Lytechinus pictus: one gene and its partner. The main gene of each other region encodes a partner of the protein of the gene in region 2 in a complex. Links are inferred from orthologs where the notes say so. Each region holds a gene or a part of one and is shown on either strand. Other genes may lie near its edges.

Region 1 (8,202 bases), on a different chromosome or scaffold from region 2:
CTTCGTCTGCGGGGGCATAAAAACAGGAAGAGTGATTACTTGGTCTCTGCCGTACTTCGTTCAGGCAAGACAAAAAGGAAAATACTTGAACATTGCTTTTTATAATTATAGTTATCAAGAATCAGAAGGTAGGAAGTAAAAAAAAAAGGAATTTCACCAAAAGTAATGGCTAAAACAAAATCTTAATAATCCACTGTGAGTAATTACGTAATCTGTAAGGAAGGTTTATTCAACTCTAACATCTACATGAAGTTGGTTTTGATAAAATGCAGGAACAATCAGGGAACCATTTATGAAGATTTATGGAGGTTTAGGGAAATCCAGCAACAAGTAGATAATTTCTGATAATTTTTTGATTAATTGTTTGATATCACATTAAAACAGTTCCCAGGTACGGTATGCCACTGACGCAATTTCTATCAAGTGCTATTGTGTGGATGGTCAATGATAAATTATGGATAAAAGAATGTGCCTGATTAAATGCACAGGTTAAATGATTAAAAAGTTTCTGCGAAAATTGCACTTTGTGAAATTCATATTTCATGAAATTTGGAAGAGCTGCTCACATCATTATGTGATGTAAAAAAAATACTTTTAAACTACAATTATTTTTTCAGGATTTTCATTAAATCTTCAATCATATGTTCATCTCATTTTCCTATTTTTATAAACACCAACTTCATATCAGGGTGGACATCAACATGTAAAGAGGAATAAGCCTAATCAACTCCTTCCAAGCAACCATCAGAAAATAGACAGTAACCCTCAAATCAGTAATTAATTTTACAACCATAATGTGATCAATGAATATGCTTCAGAGCACAATATATGCTTGCCATCCTTACCTAAGAAGAACTTGTCATTCTCGTAGTACTTGTTGCCATATTTGTCCTCACCAACAAGAGCACCAATCTTAAGATCTTCTCCCCTAATGGTTTTTAAACAGCAGAGAAAAATATATTGGTTGAGTCGAAGCAAGAATAAATTGATCTGAATACAATCAGGGATAACTGTAGATGGATTCTTGATTGCAAGCAGTTGAAATTTCTGCTCCCACCATATATATCACACACATCTTTTAAAATTGTCAAATTATCTGTGACTGTGACTTTTACCCTTAAGAGTAGACCCTATCTAATGAGATCATCACGACTGGAGATGTTCCCTCAAATGGTTCTTTTTTATTGCAAGGAAAAGATGACCCCAGTCAGTGTTGTTAATAAACCCACTCAAGGGTTCATTACATGCCGCTGCAGAAAAATCAAGCCATAGACGTCGTGTGTTGTGGACGCCAGTAGTGTGAGTGTATTAAACCCAGCACTGTCAGACATTGCTGTAGACTACTGTGTAGACTACAGAGTAGTTTTCCAGCACAGCATTAGGCCTACACTTCTTGATCAGCATAGAATTAAATTTTGAGATCGAGATATGCGATACTGGGGAAGTTGAATTAGATCATTCTGTTAGATAGATCTTCTAATTCAGTCAGGTGTCAATTGACACATTCTTACTTAAAAAAAACCAACTAGGCCTAAGTCTAACTTGTTAGAAGACAACTTAGGTCTACGTAGTCGTATGATCGCAATCGCGATCTTGCGGCCAAGTGCAGTGGTATGGTAGCCAACTATTGTTTGAATTTATTTGTTTAACATATGAATATTTTGGTATAGAATTTTACCCTGATGATTATTTTTTTTAATGTTTGGCAACCCATGCATGCATCATTCAGCCGGGCATTATACTCTAAGTACTAACAAGTTAGACAGCTACAGTACAGGACCCGTCATCAACATGCACCCGACTAACCCAGGGAGCCCAGGGGCTTACCGTGTATTTTACCATACTCAAGGGACTAGGGTGAATTATGGTCTAAATATTTCTCCAAATGAATTGTGAAAACAGAAATTATGCACTTACCACGATTATATGGATGAAGGTCTAACGAGTGGCAGTTTCCTGACATCTGGGCACAGACCACTCACACGTATTACGAGGTTAGTATTAGTATACTAACCTCGCACCACGAACCGCATTTGGCAGTGGATTTCTAACTAGTGGGTCGCGCGTGCTGGGATCTCACTTCTTGGGTCCACAACACACGACTTCTATGGCTTGAATTTTTTGTGCGCGGCGGCATGTAATGAACCCTTGGGTGGGCACAGACTGGAACCTCAAAAAACGAAAAGTTCTCTCCTTCTACCCCCGTCTCGATGGGCCATTTTTGTTATGAATTGTAACAAAATGGTCGATCGAGACTGGGGTAGAACTAGAAGGAGAGAACTTTTCGGTTTTTTTAGGTTCCAGTTTGTGCCCAGATGTCAGGAAACTGCCACTCGTTAACGTTAGACCTTCAACCATATAATCGTGGTAAGTGCATAATTTCTGTTTTCACAATTCATTTGGAGAAATATTTAGACCATAAATCACCCTAGTCCCGTGAGTATGGTAAAATACACGGTAAGCCCCTGGGCTCCCTGGGTTAGCACCCGACAAGAATATTCAATAGACGGGACTGTCCAAGAAGATTCAGAATCATAGTTTTAGCGAGTTTGGCAAACAACACCCATCAATATAACTTATCATATAAAAAGGAATAAAACTGTACACCGGCTACATCATAAAAAGCATTTAAGAAATAATTTACCTCAGTAATTTCCAGAATGATCCCCTTATACCACCACATTCTTTGATAGTTTGGAAGAACCTCCCACGTATTGTCGACGCCATAATTCAGAATAACAACGTGTCGCGGACAAACCACTTTCATGCAACCTATATCATACGCACATCCAATGAGATTATCACGATTTTGTCATACAGTCATTGTAATTGCACAGGAGATAAATTTCCGGCACTCGTTGTGTGCATGCTGGTATTCCTGGGATCCACCCCCCCCCCCGCGGCCCCCTTCTTCTCCTTAACCTTGGAGAGTCTATTATCGGAGATCAATTGGGCGGATCCAGCTTTCACAAAGGGGGAGGGGGCGATTTTTTTTCACCTAAATTTTCCCCAAATCGGCCGCTTAAGTCTATCTTATTCTTAGCTATATATATAAAAAAAAATTAACAACATAGATGTATAATAATATTCTCATATAAGCCCTATTTAAATAGTGCGAGAGCGAGCTAAAATGTTTGGAACTGAAGTCCATGTATTTTGTCCTGAAATTTGAACATTCTGGGCAATGTTTGTGATCCTGAACAAGATGCATACTGGTAGCGCGAGCAGAAATTTTTGATACGTTTGATCTAGCCTGATCCAGTCAGACCGCAACGCCGCACGTAAAATGATGGGAGCACGAGCTGATATATATTTTTTACCTGTATATAGGCAGTGGCGTAACAGGCGGGGGGGGGGGGGGGGCAGGGGGGGCAAGTTGCCCCCCTGGCGGATTTCACCGGGAAAATAAAAGAAAAACGGGAAAAAGAAAAAAAAGGAGGGAGAAAGAAAGGGAAAGGGGACGGAAAGGGGAAAAGGAAAGGAGGAAAAGGAAAGGGAAAGGGATTCCGGTGGCCCGGGTTCGATTCCCAAGTGGTGCGCTAGTGCCCTTTGGTAAGGCATTTATCCTCATTACCAGGTCCCTCGGAGAGGACCTTAAGCCATTGGTCCCCTGGTTGCTTGCTCACAGGCATTCGTGCTTTCTTAGCAGTCAGGTAAAACAACCTCGGTATAACATAACATAACATAACATAACAAAAGAAAACGAAGAAAAAACTATTTTTGTTAATGGAAAAGGAAGGAAAGCGGGAAAATGTACGAAAGAAGAACATTTGAGAAAGAACAAATCATTCCGAAATAGGCCTATGTAATGCAATAGCACGGTGGGAAATGAATTAAAAGATGACAAAATGGCAACCAATAGCGGGAAACGAAGTTAGAGAGGGTTAGTCAAAAGCTAAATTGGAAAAGAAAAGGGACAAGGAAAACAAATAATAACACGACCGGGCTGCCGATGATTGAAAATAAAGAGCGGGAAAAAAGATGGACTGCATACAACATTGTGCTATAAGCTTGCTAAATTTTATGCAAATAAGCTACCGGGGCTTTGCCCCAGACCCCACGCAGTAGGGGCTCTTCATTTATAACCTTCAAATGGCTCTATAACGCCCCCCCCCGTTCAATCACAATCAATCACTGGCATACAAGCGGGGGGGGGGGGGGGGTCTTGGTTCCACACCCAAGAGAAAATTAAAGAAATTGTAGGAGACAACGTATAATGAAATGAATGGAAACAATGAAATGCGTTATTTGCTGAATATAATGGAAAAAGCTATCACATAATTAGAATTTAATTTCAATTGGTAATTTTTTTTCCAGCCCGCTTTGCATGCTGGCGACTTTTTTTTACAAATTTTCCCACATTGCTATGTTTTGCCCCTTAAAAATATTTGGTTCATTATGCGACCGGGTTGAATAAATGTGTTGTGTAAAAGCTTCTGTATATGACCGCGATTTGATTAAAATAGCGGCAATCTGCGAGGTTTAAATGGCTTTGATATCAAGAAGTTCCGGGAGCTCCGCCCAGACCCCAACCGCACAGCACTGCGTATGGAAGGGTTAGGCCATGGCCCCCAAAAGTTCTACAAACAAGAATAATTAAAAAAAAAGCAAAGGAAAAGTGAAGGATATGATTTTATTTACTGAATATAATGTCAAAAATAGCTCAAAGTTAGATTCTCATGAAAAGGTGATTTTTTTTCTCACTCGCTTCGCTCGCTCGGGACTTATATGAAGCAACTTTTTAGCACATGTGCTATACTGCTCCCCTGTTTTTTTTTTTTCTTTTTTTACTCTTCACGCTACTTCCACAAAGAATCCTGTTCACAGTGGCGTACAGACCACAAAAAAGGAATCTAAAGAGGGAAGAGTGAAATATATTATTTTCTGGATATCATGTCAAAATCTATCACAAAATTGAATTTTTGTATTAAAAAGGTCCAAATTTTTGCTCGCTCGCTTTGCTCGCTCGCAACTGTTTTTAAAGATAAATTCTGCCCGATACGCAATATCTGGCCTTCTCAAAATAGTCTCATAGCCTCATTACACCATTGCGCCTGTTCATATACCATCAGTGGCGTACCTAGGATTTTCCACAGGGGAGGTAAAATCGGCCGCCCAAAAAATTGACAAGCAAAAAAAAAAAAAAAAAAAGAAGGTCTTCAAAAAAAATTTTTTGGTTTTCGTACCAGAAAATAATGTGACAAGCAAAAAAAAAAAAAAAAAATTTCTTCAGGCTCTTCAGGGGGGGCATTAAAGGTCTTCAAGTTCGTCAGGGGGGGCAAAAAAGGTCTTTTAAGCTCGTCAAGGGGGCATATGTCTTTTGTATGGGTTGTGGCTCGTCAGGGGGGGCAGAGTGCCCCCTCTGCCCCCCCCCCCCGTAGGTACGCTAGTGTATACCATGATATGACCGGGAAATGTTTGGCTCATGCCCCCCCTGGCCACCGACCCCTGTTACGCCGCTGCCTGTAGGACCGGGAACCCAAGGGGGGGGGGACATCCTAAGGACATTTTGTCATAATATGAATATGATGACTATATCTTCCTATGAGCTCTTTCTAGGCGAGAGATGAAACTTGTCGATATTCCATTCTACAATTTAAAAATGTCAGTTATATATAAGACTAATGAGAGCCAAAATTTGACGTTTTAAGCAATTTTGTAATTATGAATAGGATATGCCTGCATGGGTTAATATATTTTAACAATTAATGCAAGCGTGAAGCGCGAGCGAAATTTCATATAGTCATAATAATAGTGTCATGAAATTTTTTTTTCCAATTAAGTCTTCTAACTTTATTTTATTCACTTATCTACAACAGTCTTCCTCTGTTATCTTTCCTCTTCTCTTTTCCCTCATTCCCCCCATTTTCTTTTTTATTCTGAATAAGTTCTTATCTCCATTATTATCTTTTATAATTTATCACTGAGATAGGAAGACGCTAAAATCGGCAAATATGTATTCTGAAGTTTATAACGCGGTATACGTACAGGACTGCCCCCGGTCCCATATGTACAATCATCCCGGGACAATCATAAAGGCCTCATTTTTTATCAGTCGAATGGTAAATAATGTCACTAAATTCTCACGGTACTTGATTTTATTGTTTTTCATGCAAATAATAAATGTTGATATAGTTTAGCCTAGCCCTAGCAAATCTTAGCTTTTTTTTTGGAGGGGGGGGGGTAATGATCATCTCTTTAAATGCATTCAAACGTAAACTCAACTTATCCTGCTTCATTCCTATAATTCTTCGCAACGGAACTAACACTTCATTACGTTGATTATCATCCTTTCGTTTTTCATTCTTATTGTTTAATCTTTTTTCTCTTATATATACTGTCCAGTAATGCCAGTTATATCATCTTTTTGTTATTTCACTAGATCAAGCTGGTCTGTGGTCAGCCCTTCCCCATTCTATGTTCTTGTCGTGTCCTGTCATGTCTCTTGTTTTGTCTTGTCTTCTATGTCATTCGTTCTCTCTTTCTTCTTTTCTTCTGTCCAATGCGCAATCCTTCATAGCGGAGACCTCTTTGTGTGAATACCTTTGCATTTGATCAGTAATTAAACATAATTATGTTACATCAATCTGATTTCGACCTATTTGTTCCTTCTCTTTTTTCTTTCCTGTATATAATTATGAATAAGTCGACAATATTTTGGGGGATCCACACTTTGCAAGCTTTGCTTTTAGTGGACCCCCCCTTATTTCCATTTATGCTCAATTTTATACTGGTTTTTACGAAGTAAGAATGTTCATCTTTACAATTGTATCTGATTTATATTATTTTGTATTATGTTTTGAATGGAAATGAAATATATATACACACTAAGAATTAGGGGATCAAATTTGAGCCCTCCGGGTTGGTACAATAGCTGCACCCAAAGGGGTGCTAATGAGTGCAATTATGCTCATTTGAAGGTGCATTTAGCTACGTTAAGCACTCTATAGGGTGCGAAATATTGAACCATGTAATAAAGGTTCAAATTTGAACCTTTTTTAATGTCAAGTATTATGCACCCTAACAGGTTCATATTTGCACCTATTAGGGTGCGAGCGAGTATTTCTTGGTGCATATAATGATAAAAAGGTGTATTTTTACACCTGTTGCCTCTTAGGGTGCAAGATTACACCCCACAAGGTTGGTACAAGTGTTTCATTTTGGGTTCAAACATTTCTTAGTGTGTAGAATTGAATTGAATTGAAAATTGAAGTTGAAAAGGCCAACGCTAGACGGACTTGCTCCCGGTGTAAACCCTATATGAAGATAGTAAAACAGTGATTGGAGTCACTGAGACCTGGTTCTCGAGTGAGAATGACTTAAATCTTTATCATATTCCTGGTCATAATCTTGTGTCTAATCATAGATATGCTAAAAAAGGAGGTGGAGTTGCTTTATATATTCCAGATTCAGTGGACTTTCAATTAAGGGATGAGCTAAATATGATGACTGAGCATATGGAATCAATATTCGCAGAGTGCTTCATTCCAGGAAAAAGAAATGTTTTATTTGGAGTTGTGTATAGACCCCCTCAGAGTAACTTAGAGAGTTTTGTGAACGAAATGCATAGTATTCTTTCAAACCCACTTTTCGTAAACAAAACAATTTTCATAATGGGCGATTATAACATAAACCTCCTTCAGTGTGATGAAAATTATCATTATGATGCGTTTCTTAATATGATATGCTGTCCTTTTCCTTAATGCCATTAATTATTAAACCAACAAGGGTAACTGAAGCTTCATCTACGCTCATAGATAACATTTTCTATAATAGACAACCTTTTCCATCCTCAGGGATTATTGTATCAGATATTTCAGATCATTTCCCAATCTTCGCTCATCTAAACTTGGATAGAGTCTGTAAACAAGAACCCAAATCAATTCGGAAAAACACTTCCGCTAATATCGCAAAGCTGCGGGCAGCCTTGATAGAAACTGACTGGAGTGAAGTTCTTAAAGAAAATGATGTGAACATATCGTTTAAAAGGTTCTTACAAAAATTCATGTCTCTGTATAATAAAAATGTACCAGTTGTAAAGCAAAGTAGAAGAAATCGTAAAAATTTTCCTATTATGCCATGGGTTAGTGCTTCTTTGTTGAGATCCATTAACAAGAAAAACAAGCTGTATTATTCGTATAAAGTGCGTGGTACCGAATCTTCACGTAAACGTTATGTAAATTATAAAAATACGCTTACTTC
Region 2 (8,418 bases):
CCATTTACACTACAGGATTTAGGGCTAGATATTTTAGAAGTAGAAATCTCGGGGGCGAAAGTTTTAGGTTTTTTGGCGGTATGTGTAGATGAATGAAATAGAATCCCTGGCTTCGTGGAGGGTAAGCATACGTTAGTAAATGATTTTACTCTAGAAGCCTCCTGGCTAAGACACGTGGGGCCAACAGAGTTCAGCGGAACAACCAATAAAAGAGAGTCCAAAGCTTTTGGTCTAGATCAAATCCATGTTTTCTGGGACAATCCCAATTTTTGGACCGGCACCTCTACTGGTGGTTGGTGGATAAAGATATGATTAACTTGTTCCAGTGTTGAGAAACGGGCCGGGGCCCAGAATACCACCCCAGCACATCATGACGGGGCCGGTTACAGGCGGGGTACTACCGGTACGGCCGGTGTAGCGGCGGATTTGGTTCCACCGGCAGATACCGTATCCGCCGGCAGATATCGTTCTAAATGGCCGATATCGTGTTTAAATCGGAACCATATCCGCCGGGTTTGACGTGGCTTGATGTTTGCAGATTTGGTTCCTCCGCGGATTTGGTTCTATTGACTATACGTTTACTATTGATTTGGACAGACAACCTCGGAACCTCCTGCAGAACACTCTGTATTTTTTGTTCAAATGAGTGGGTCAAAACTTAAGCATACATATTAAGTCAATTCCAATTGTATTTTCCACCTGTCCATTGTCTTGTCAACCATTTTTTTTGTTGTAAATTAGAAGTTATTTGGTTGCCATGGCAATAGCTTGAAATGGAATTTATACATTTAGCAACCAAAATATCTTTGTTTAGCACTGTAAAATTAGGTGATATTAAAGATAAATCATATTCTACGTTTTATTAATCAAATATTTTTCTGGGGAAAAACAAGCCGTTTCTATGGCAACAGACCAATTAGAACTACCTTGGTGATCTTGAATATTTCTAAATTTCATATGTACTCAACTGGGAGCCTGAAAATGTTAATTTTGGTCATCTATATCATGTTTATTTACCATTTACATGAGAATGTATGTTATTTTGGAGAAATTAATCTGTTACCATGGCAACGGCCGAAAATGGCATTTATAAATTTACCTCCCATCTTTAAAATAAATCTTTACGGCATATACTAATACTCGTGAAAGTTTCATGCTTTAGTCATAATTTTCACTATTGTTCGGCTTATCCGCTCTACTATATAGGCCTATAGGTTTTTGAAACTACAAATTTCAACAAGTTAAATCTTCATATTTCAAAATAAATGATGCAAATTAGTGTATGAAAATATGTTTTGCTGTTAGCTCATATTATTGCTTGTAGAATGCTAATTTTTGGTGAAAACATAAATTTGATATTTCTAACAAACATAAAAAACAGAATGTCAAAATGTGATCAATTTCTTATGTAGTTTATTGTAAGGTAAGCCTATTTTTAATTTTTCATGTATTTAAAAAAAATATTCCTTTTTTTTTTCAATGTTTTAATGAATTAATTAAAGGGGACCGGAAGTTCACATTACAAAAGTTGGATACGCCACGAACTGTTTGGTGCTCCCTAATTTACCTCTCAGTCATCTAATTTTAAGATCAATATGGGATCTTAAGACAGTGAAATATAATTTCTCCTTTATCTTTTGTTTCTCACTATACCCCCTCCTGGTTTTCATTTCTTTATTTTTTTGCCTTTCTTTCTGTCCCTGCTCATTTCGCCCCCTTTTGCCTCTTTTCCAGTTCCGTAACCTTTGTGGCATATTATGAATATATCTGGGGCGTATAAGCGGGGGTAATATAGCACCACAAAGGAGAAATAGAAGAGGAAGGGGAGGGAGAGAAAATAGAAAAATATACGAGAAAATGTGGAGGAAATAATAGTAATACATTGGAATTTCGTAAATCAAGAATTTCATTTGCAGTGATCATTATTTATACTTCCCTTTAGAAAGCTTATTACAAAATACTGATTTTAATTATCGAAACTGCCATTGTTTACCTTTATTTAATACTCTGTATTAATCATATTAATTGATGCATATTGTGCCCAATTTATCCCTAAAATTGTGATAAGGATTTTTCATACTGCAATAAATTAATAGGTATAAAATAAATTAACAAATGCATGTTATTCGATTACAAGCATTATTATCATATCTTGGGGTAAATTCTTATACTACTAGTAGTGCAGCAGACATTGACAGTTGAATGAAGACTAAATGTGGACTATTTAAAGACCAAAACCAGACCCCAAAATTTAATTGACAAATCAAAAGCTATTAAACTAAAAACAGAAATGCAAGTTTTATGCAGTCATCGCATACAGCTGAATATTTTGCCTCAAAAATATACTTTCTTGTAAATGCTTTCACCGGCCTCGCACCGAGACCGTGACAACATCATCATGTAGTGTTAGAAGTGGTGCAATTCTATAGAAAATGGGTTATTTTCAGATTACACATTTAATTTTTTCTCTCCTATCACATAGAGATAACATTAACATAAATATCTTTTTCTGCAAGCTTTGATTGATGAAATCTACCGCTTTTGACAAGTTTTCATGTGACGTATGTGAATGAAGGATATCGCGATAGCGCAAGAACGATATCTTCCGAAGAAAGTGGTAGGATGGGGGTCGGGTGTCCGGACACTAGGCTTGGGCATCAGAGCCGAGTAATCGAGTCTACCCGATTCTTGTCACCAGAGTCGAGGAGTCGACCCCCATTCTTTCAAGGCCCATTACTCGAGCCCGAGGGATCCACCCTACAAGAGAACCGATTCTGTTTTACAACAGCACATAAATGCCCTGCTGAAGGGAATTCCCGACTTAGTTTACAATTGCAAGCTAAAATCATTTTATGGAAATCTAATATACAAGTTAGTTTAGTGTGTAGTTGTGCCAGACCATGGCTCTCTAGACCTATTAGTGTCATATAGGGGCTGTGCAAGCAGACTAATCCAAACAGAACATGTCTGGCTTCTCTTATCTACTGACCACATAATTGCCCCCTCGAGATCACTTTCAAGGTTTCAAGAACAAACAAGAAACCCAAAAGTTTGGTTTGAAAAAGAGAAGAGAGAGAGGAGTAGGCTATATATAGAAAGAGGGAGGGAGAGAGAGTGAGAGGGGATATCTTGCTTGCACCAAGGAGATATCACTATCTCCTTGCTTGCACACAGTAGCTCCATTCACTTTGTCTTTATGGACATGAAAAGAGCTCTGCATGTATCTCATAATTCACTAGTGTGTTAAGTGATTGTGGAGTCGACTCCTCTCGGAACCGAAGCCTTGGGTGATGGGTCAGAGCCGGAGTCGGTTCTTCTGGGAAAGGTGGGAACCGCCCAAGGCCAAGCCTACCGGACACTTTATTATACTCATTTTAATTTACTATTTAGTTTATAATTATATTTTTTAAGCCTTCTTTTTCATCTTTGAATTACACTAATATATAGTCTTTATAGATTCATTATATATAGTCTTTATAGATTCATTAGTTTTATTCCATCTTCTAATATTTGCTCTCTATATTTCCTAACATTTTGTACTAAAAATTGATGAAAATTCGCTTGTAAATTTTTCCAAATGACTTTCTAAAATTGATCGTCCGGACACACAACCTGTCCGGACACACAACAACTGGGTATACTGAATCCGCCGGAGTAGAACACGATCCGCCGGCGGATTTGCATTGCCATTGGTGCCTAGAACAGTATCTGCCAGGCGCAGGATCCGCCGGTATACCGGGCCGGGAGTGCAACCCGACCCCTCGCCGCACAGAGGGCCGGGGCGAAACAAAAGTGCGCCAAAAGTCATTTTGGGCAATTTCAGATTTTCCATTTTTGTCATGCCCAGCTGAAAGACAACACTTTGAAGAATACTTCAGCAAAATATTTCATTCGGGAATTTGCATAAAGGATGTTAATTTCCTACCTCAAATCGTAAAATGTGACATTTAGCGAAATGCCGCGTAAATGACAACTTAGTTGGAAAACAAGCCATTTCACAGGAAGCTTTTCATGTAGGAATCTGAAATGGCACCCACATAATCCTGATATATTCTTTTTTTATGTGAAAGGGTTCAAAGTAGATAAAAGACACATTTCAGGAGGTTTATAGGATAATTATTCCTCGAAATTGGCTGATAATCCATGTTTTTTGCATTTACATTAGAAACGTTTAGATTTCCGTAGATTTCCGTTTAAATTCTATCATCATCATTTTGCCAGATGTCTAAGCTTTAAGTCGATACCAAATTTAGCTGCCCGTTTTTGCCCGTTTTCATGTTAGAGCCGATTTTACTTGACACAACACCCCCAAAACCTGTTAAAAAACGGGTATTTTTATACCGCGCAGCCATCGCAGCGCACCGTGTGGAGTGTACATTGCCGTTCATTTTTGCACGGCGAGGACGATTCCCCTTCTATTCCATGAAAATGACATGAATTCCGGGCATAATGTAAACAAAATGAAGGTTGATAACTCATATTTTACTTACCACCCGCCTCTCTTCCAGAGATAAAAGTTACTTGTAGAATAATTTCACCCAAAAACCGCCTCATAGTAAAACATTCGTGGTGTATATACTCTGCGTTTTACCCAAGTCTACCCGCTTGATAAAGCACGGTTCATATTTTTCATATTTTCAAGTATTTTTTTAATCTAATGATCATTTTGATGCCATAAAATTATTTTCAGGATCTCATACACACTTTTTTGGCAAGTGAGAAGCATAAACCGACATTCACTCTGGTCAATCTTAAAGTTACACATAACACAAAAGTTTATATATTATAGGCCTAGGCCTAGTAGTAGTACACATTGTTTAGCGTAATTTGTCTTTTCACAGATAGGTTTTAAGTAGCCAATCAAAGTTTGGTATCAAAGTGACGTCATATCGGATTTAAATTATGTTCAGTCGATTCTACGCCCAAAATTACCCTAAATCAACATGTTAAAGTAAAAATATAACACGGAATATAATTTTGGCGCACTTTCAACTCCTTCTGGCCCACTGTGCGCCGTGACCGTGCTGCAGCTGTTGCCTTGTTAATTGGAGGGGCTTGACAGGCGAGGTGGCGCTTGCTGGAGTGAGTGGTGGACTAGACTAATCATTTACGTCGAAATACAAGTAGGCCTATTCTAACGGCCCTACTACCGAAATTAAGAATGATTAAATGCATTAAACCATGACAGATATATGAAGATTCCATATTTTCACACTTACATAGTTACATTTACAGAACTTTATACACTCACCTAACGTTAGAAAAGCAAAGCCAGCGACCAGCGACATGTGCGCGCCATCTGCGTCTGATCTCGGAGAATAATTGGTCTAGAAAAAATGGCGACTTTTCGACTGGTTTCTCAAATTTCAAGAACGGGTAAGTTTGTTTACCATGTTTGCAGCAAGCAATATTGTGATAGTAGAAATAGAGAAATTGATGAATTATATTTTCATAAAAGACGTGTCAAGGTCCCCAGGGCAAAGTGTCAGTGAGCTTTGACTTGAGTGAAGCTAGAGGTTGTCTACCCGGTAGTATATAGTATTATATAATATGGTCTAGGCCTAGTCCCATGTGATTATTTTTGTGGATGTGTATGAATCTATGATGGGGGGTCCGGACAGCCCGACCCGTAGACCAAAAGCTTCAGTCTCTGTATTTTGGTTGTTCCGCTGAACTACGTTGGCTCCACTCACCATACATAGACTGAAGGGGATGGGGCCCCGTACCTACAGCCAACGTATATAGTGAACTAGCGTTTTATAGATCGCGATTTAAAACTGTTTTTTAAGCAAAATTGAAAGTTTCATGGTTTCCATTATCAGGGAAATATAAATAAATTAAGTAATTGCATACCTTGGGCCGGAGTTATTGAAAAAAATCCTCTGGATGATTGAGAAATCTGTCATCTAAGACATTTTCACCTGACCTGACGGTTTTTCTTGCAAGTTGCCATCTTGAATGACGTCATTATCGTTATTAACTTAATGTCTCGAATCGATATATCGCGATTATAACTAGTACTAGTACTAGTATAACTAGTATCGTTTATCTTCGGTTTCGTTCGCATATGGAGCAGATCGTATAATATCGAAAGCAATATCGATATCACATTCGTGATTGTTGACGTTCGTTTGTAAATATTTTATAGTTTGGCTGCCATTTTGACCATTTTTATCGTGTTCAACCCAATTAAACATCGGTAAAGTATATTTTTCATGCATTTTTCATCTATATCGTTTAAAGTATTTAAATGTTGGAATATAAATAATTAAAAGTTTGTTGTTTATACATCCTTAGATTGTAAATTCGATGTGTAAAATTACATCAAACTTTGGACTGTGAATTGACAAAAGGGAGGGAATGAGAACACATGCGAGCCCACACGTACACCCTACTGTCGGTAAATGGGGATTACAGTAAAATGTCAGAAATTGTTGAATAAATCCCCAGAAACGACGGTTATTCCTGTCTACCCGACCCGCTGCCCTGGAGGCTGGACAAGTCAACTCGTCCCGGTCGAGTTGTCCAGGGTTTGCTCTGAATTGGACAACTCGACCACTTGAATTCTTCTTCAATATTTCATGAAATAAAATTTAGGCATGCCAAAATTTCAAACTTTAAATATTCAATTTTCCCGCATGATCCATGTTTCTAAATACTATTAGTAAATTCTAATTTCTACAAATAGGCCTACAATGAATATATTATTATACGGTACATTCTCGACAGAAAATTGACATTTCAGTGCATTTTGAGCTATTTTGAAATAAATTAAAGCGAGTTCCCTTGCACTGAAATGTCAAATTTTCTGTCGAGAATGTATTGTAGAAACATGGATTATGCGGGAAAATACTTTTGAAGTAAAGTTTGAAATTTTTGGCAGTGTATTTCTAACTAGTGTGGGTCGCGCGTGTTGGGATCCCACTACTGGTGTCCACAACACACAACTTCTATGGCTTGATTTATCTGTGCGCAGCGGCATGTAAATGTAATGAACCCTTCACCCTTGACCGAGTGGGCGCCGGTAATCTCAAATTCCATGACGATCGACTAGTGTGCGTGCTCGGCAAAAAACGTGTCATAAAAAAAGAAGTGTGACCTTAATTTGCGCAGGATCGTTTTGCAAAGCTTTAGAAAATAAATCAAGCAGACAACGGTTTGTTAACCCCCTAATGGTGGCTGCACGATAGCGAGCCGTCTGTGTACGAGGAGAAATTTTTAAATAAATTAAAAATGTTAAAAAAACTCCTCGAAACAGACCGCTGCCAGCTGTCTAGGATAGAGGTTAAAATGCCATAAATTAGGTTTGTACAACATTTCATTTGACTTACTTATTTGGAGACCTCTGCTTGCAAACTGGCGATTTCTTGAAGCTTGTCGAGAAGTTCAGATTTTCTTGAAGCGGGCGCACAAGGTCAAAAAAATTGCGGATGTTTTGCGAATATTTTCACAAATTTAGACCATACCTTCAAGAAATTTGCCATACTAAGTAATTTTGGGTCGCTTTTTCTGTTTGTGATAGGCCCTATCAATTTTTCTAGATATTGAGATATTCGACCGTGCGCAAAATTAGGTAACGCTTTGCGCTCGCATTATTAATGTAGAAAAATTTCCAATTACTCATCCTCATGATTTACAAAACATGAATAGAGTGTCCAGAATTTTTCCGCTCGCACTCGCATCAATTGTTTAGTTACATACTTATCCTTTTCACGATTACAAAAAGTGCTTAGAACTTCCATTCTTCAGGTAGAAATGTCAAAATTTTCAGCTCGCGCTTCGCGCTTGCATTATTTGATAGTTAAAATATGTACCGTCTTCATGGCTAACAAGCAGCCGTTAACAGATCCTTTTTTATCAGATCAAAACGTATATTAAAAATAAATTTTTGAAAATTCTGCTCGCGTTTTGCGCTCGCATTATTACTGTATGAAGATTTCCAATTACTCATCCTTTTCATGATTTAAAAAATATGAATAGAGTGTCCCATTTTTAGGTTTAAATCTCGAATTTTTCAGCTCGCGCTTCGCACTCACATCAATTTAGTTATATACCTATCGTTTTCCATTCTTCAGGTAAAAATGTCAAAATTTTCAGCTCGCGCTTCGCGCTCGCATTATTTGAAAGTTGAAATAATTATGTAACGTCTTCATGGGTAACAAGCTGCCGTTAGCAGATCCTTTTTTATCAGATCAAAACGTACATTACAAATTTATGCTCGCGCTTCGCGTTCGCAGCAATTATTTAGTTGGATACACATCTCGTTCAGGATCATAAACATTGCCCAAGTTGTTTAAATTTTAAGATAAAATAAACAAAAAGCTCGCACTTTTTAAACAAGGCTTATGATATTATATGAATATATATATATATATAAAGCTTAGAAGTGACTATTAGGACTACCCCTTCAAAGAAACA

Evidence for each region. Proteins that work in one complex are often made in the same cells at the same time.
Region 1: the proteins of NADH-ubiquinone oxidoreductase subunit 8-like (region 2) and NADH dehydrogenase [ubiquinone] 1 alpha subcomplex subunit 12-like are in contact, whole or in part, in a cryo-EM structure (PDB 8ESZ), measured with the Drosophila melanogaster proteins. The link is inferred for Lytechinus pictus from reciprocal best matches to the Drosophila melanogaster genes ND-23 and ND-B17.2. Residues at the interface, in NP_524719.1 of Drosophila melanogaster: Glu85, Pro86, Ala87, Thr88, Ile89, Asn90, Pro92, Phe93, Glu94, Lys95, Gly96, Pro97, Leu98, Ser99, Pro100, Phe102, Arg110, Tyr111, Pro112, Ser113, Gly114, Glu136, Thr148, Arg149, Pro176, Asn177, Phe178, Glu179, Phe180, Ser181; in NP_001137770.1 of Drosophila melanogaster: Arg32, Asn33, Asp34, Asp35, Lys37, Phe58, Tyr59, Gly60, Arg61, Arg63, Trp64, Ile65, Phe67, Tyr75, Asp76, Gly77, Ser78, Ile80, Pro81, Ala82, Glu83, Tyr85, Gly86, Met88, His89, Tyr90, Lys91, Thr92, Cys101, Arg102.

Annotation. Positions count from the first base shown.
Region 1 is NC_087247.1:36,286,047-36,294,248, forward strand, and holds the start of NADH dehydrogenase [ubiquinone] 1 alpha subcomplex subunit 12-like, read right to left. Parts: upstream 3,242-8,202; 5' UTR 2,728-3,241; coding exon 2,645-2,727; intron 929-2,644; coding exon 846-928; intron 1-845.
Region 2 is NC_087246.1:7,381,001-7,389,418, reverse strand, and holds the start of NADH-ubiquinone oxidoreductase subunit 8-like, read left to right. Parts: upstream 1-5,043; 5' UTR 5,044-5,336; coding exon 5,337-5,376; exon of another isoform or gene 5,377-5,589; intron 5,590-8,418. UniProt on the Drosophila melanogaster protein: Core subunit of the mitochondrial membrane respiratory chain NADH dehydrogenase (Complex I) that is believed to belong to the minimal assembly required for catalysis. Complex I functions in the transfer of electrons from NADH to the respiratory chain.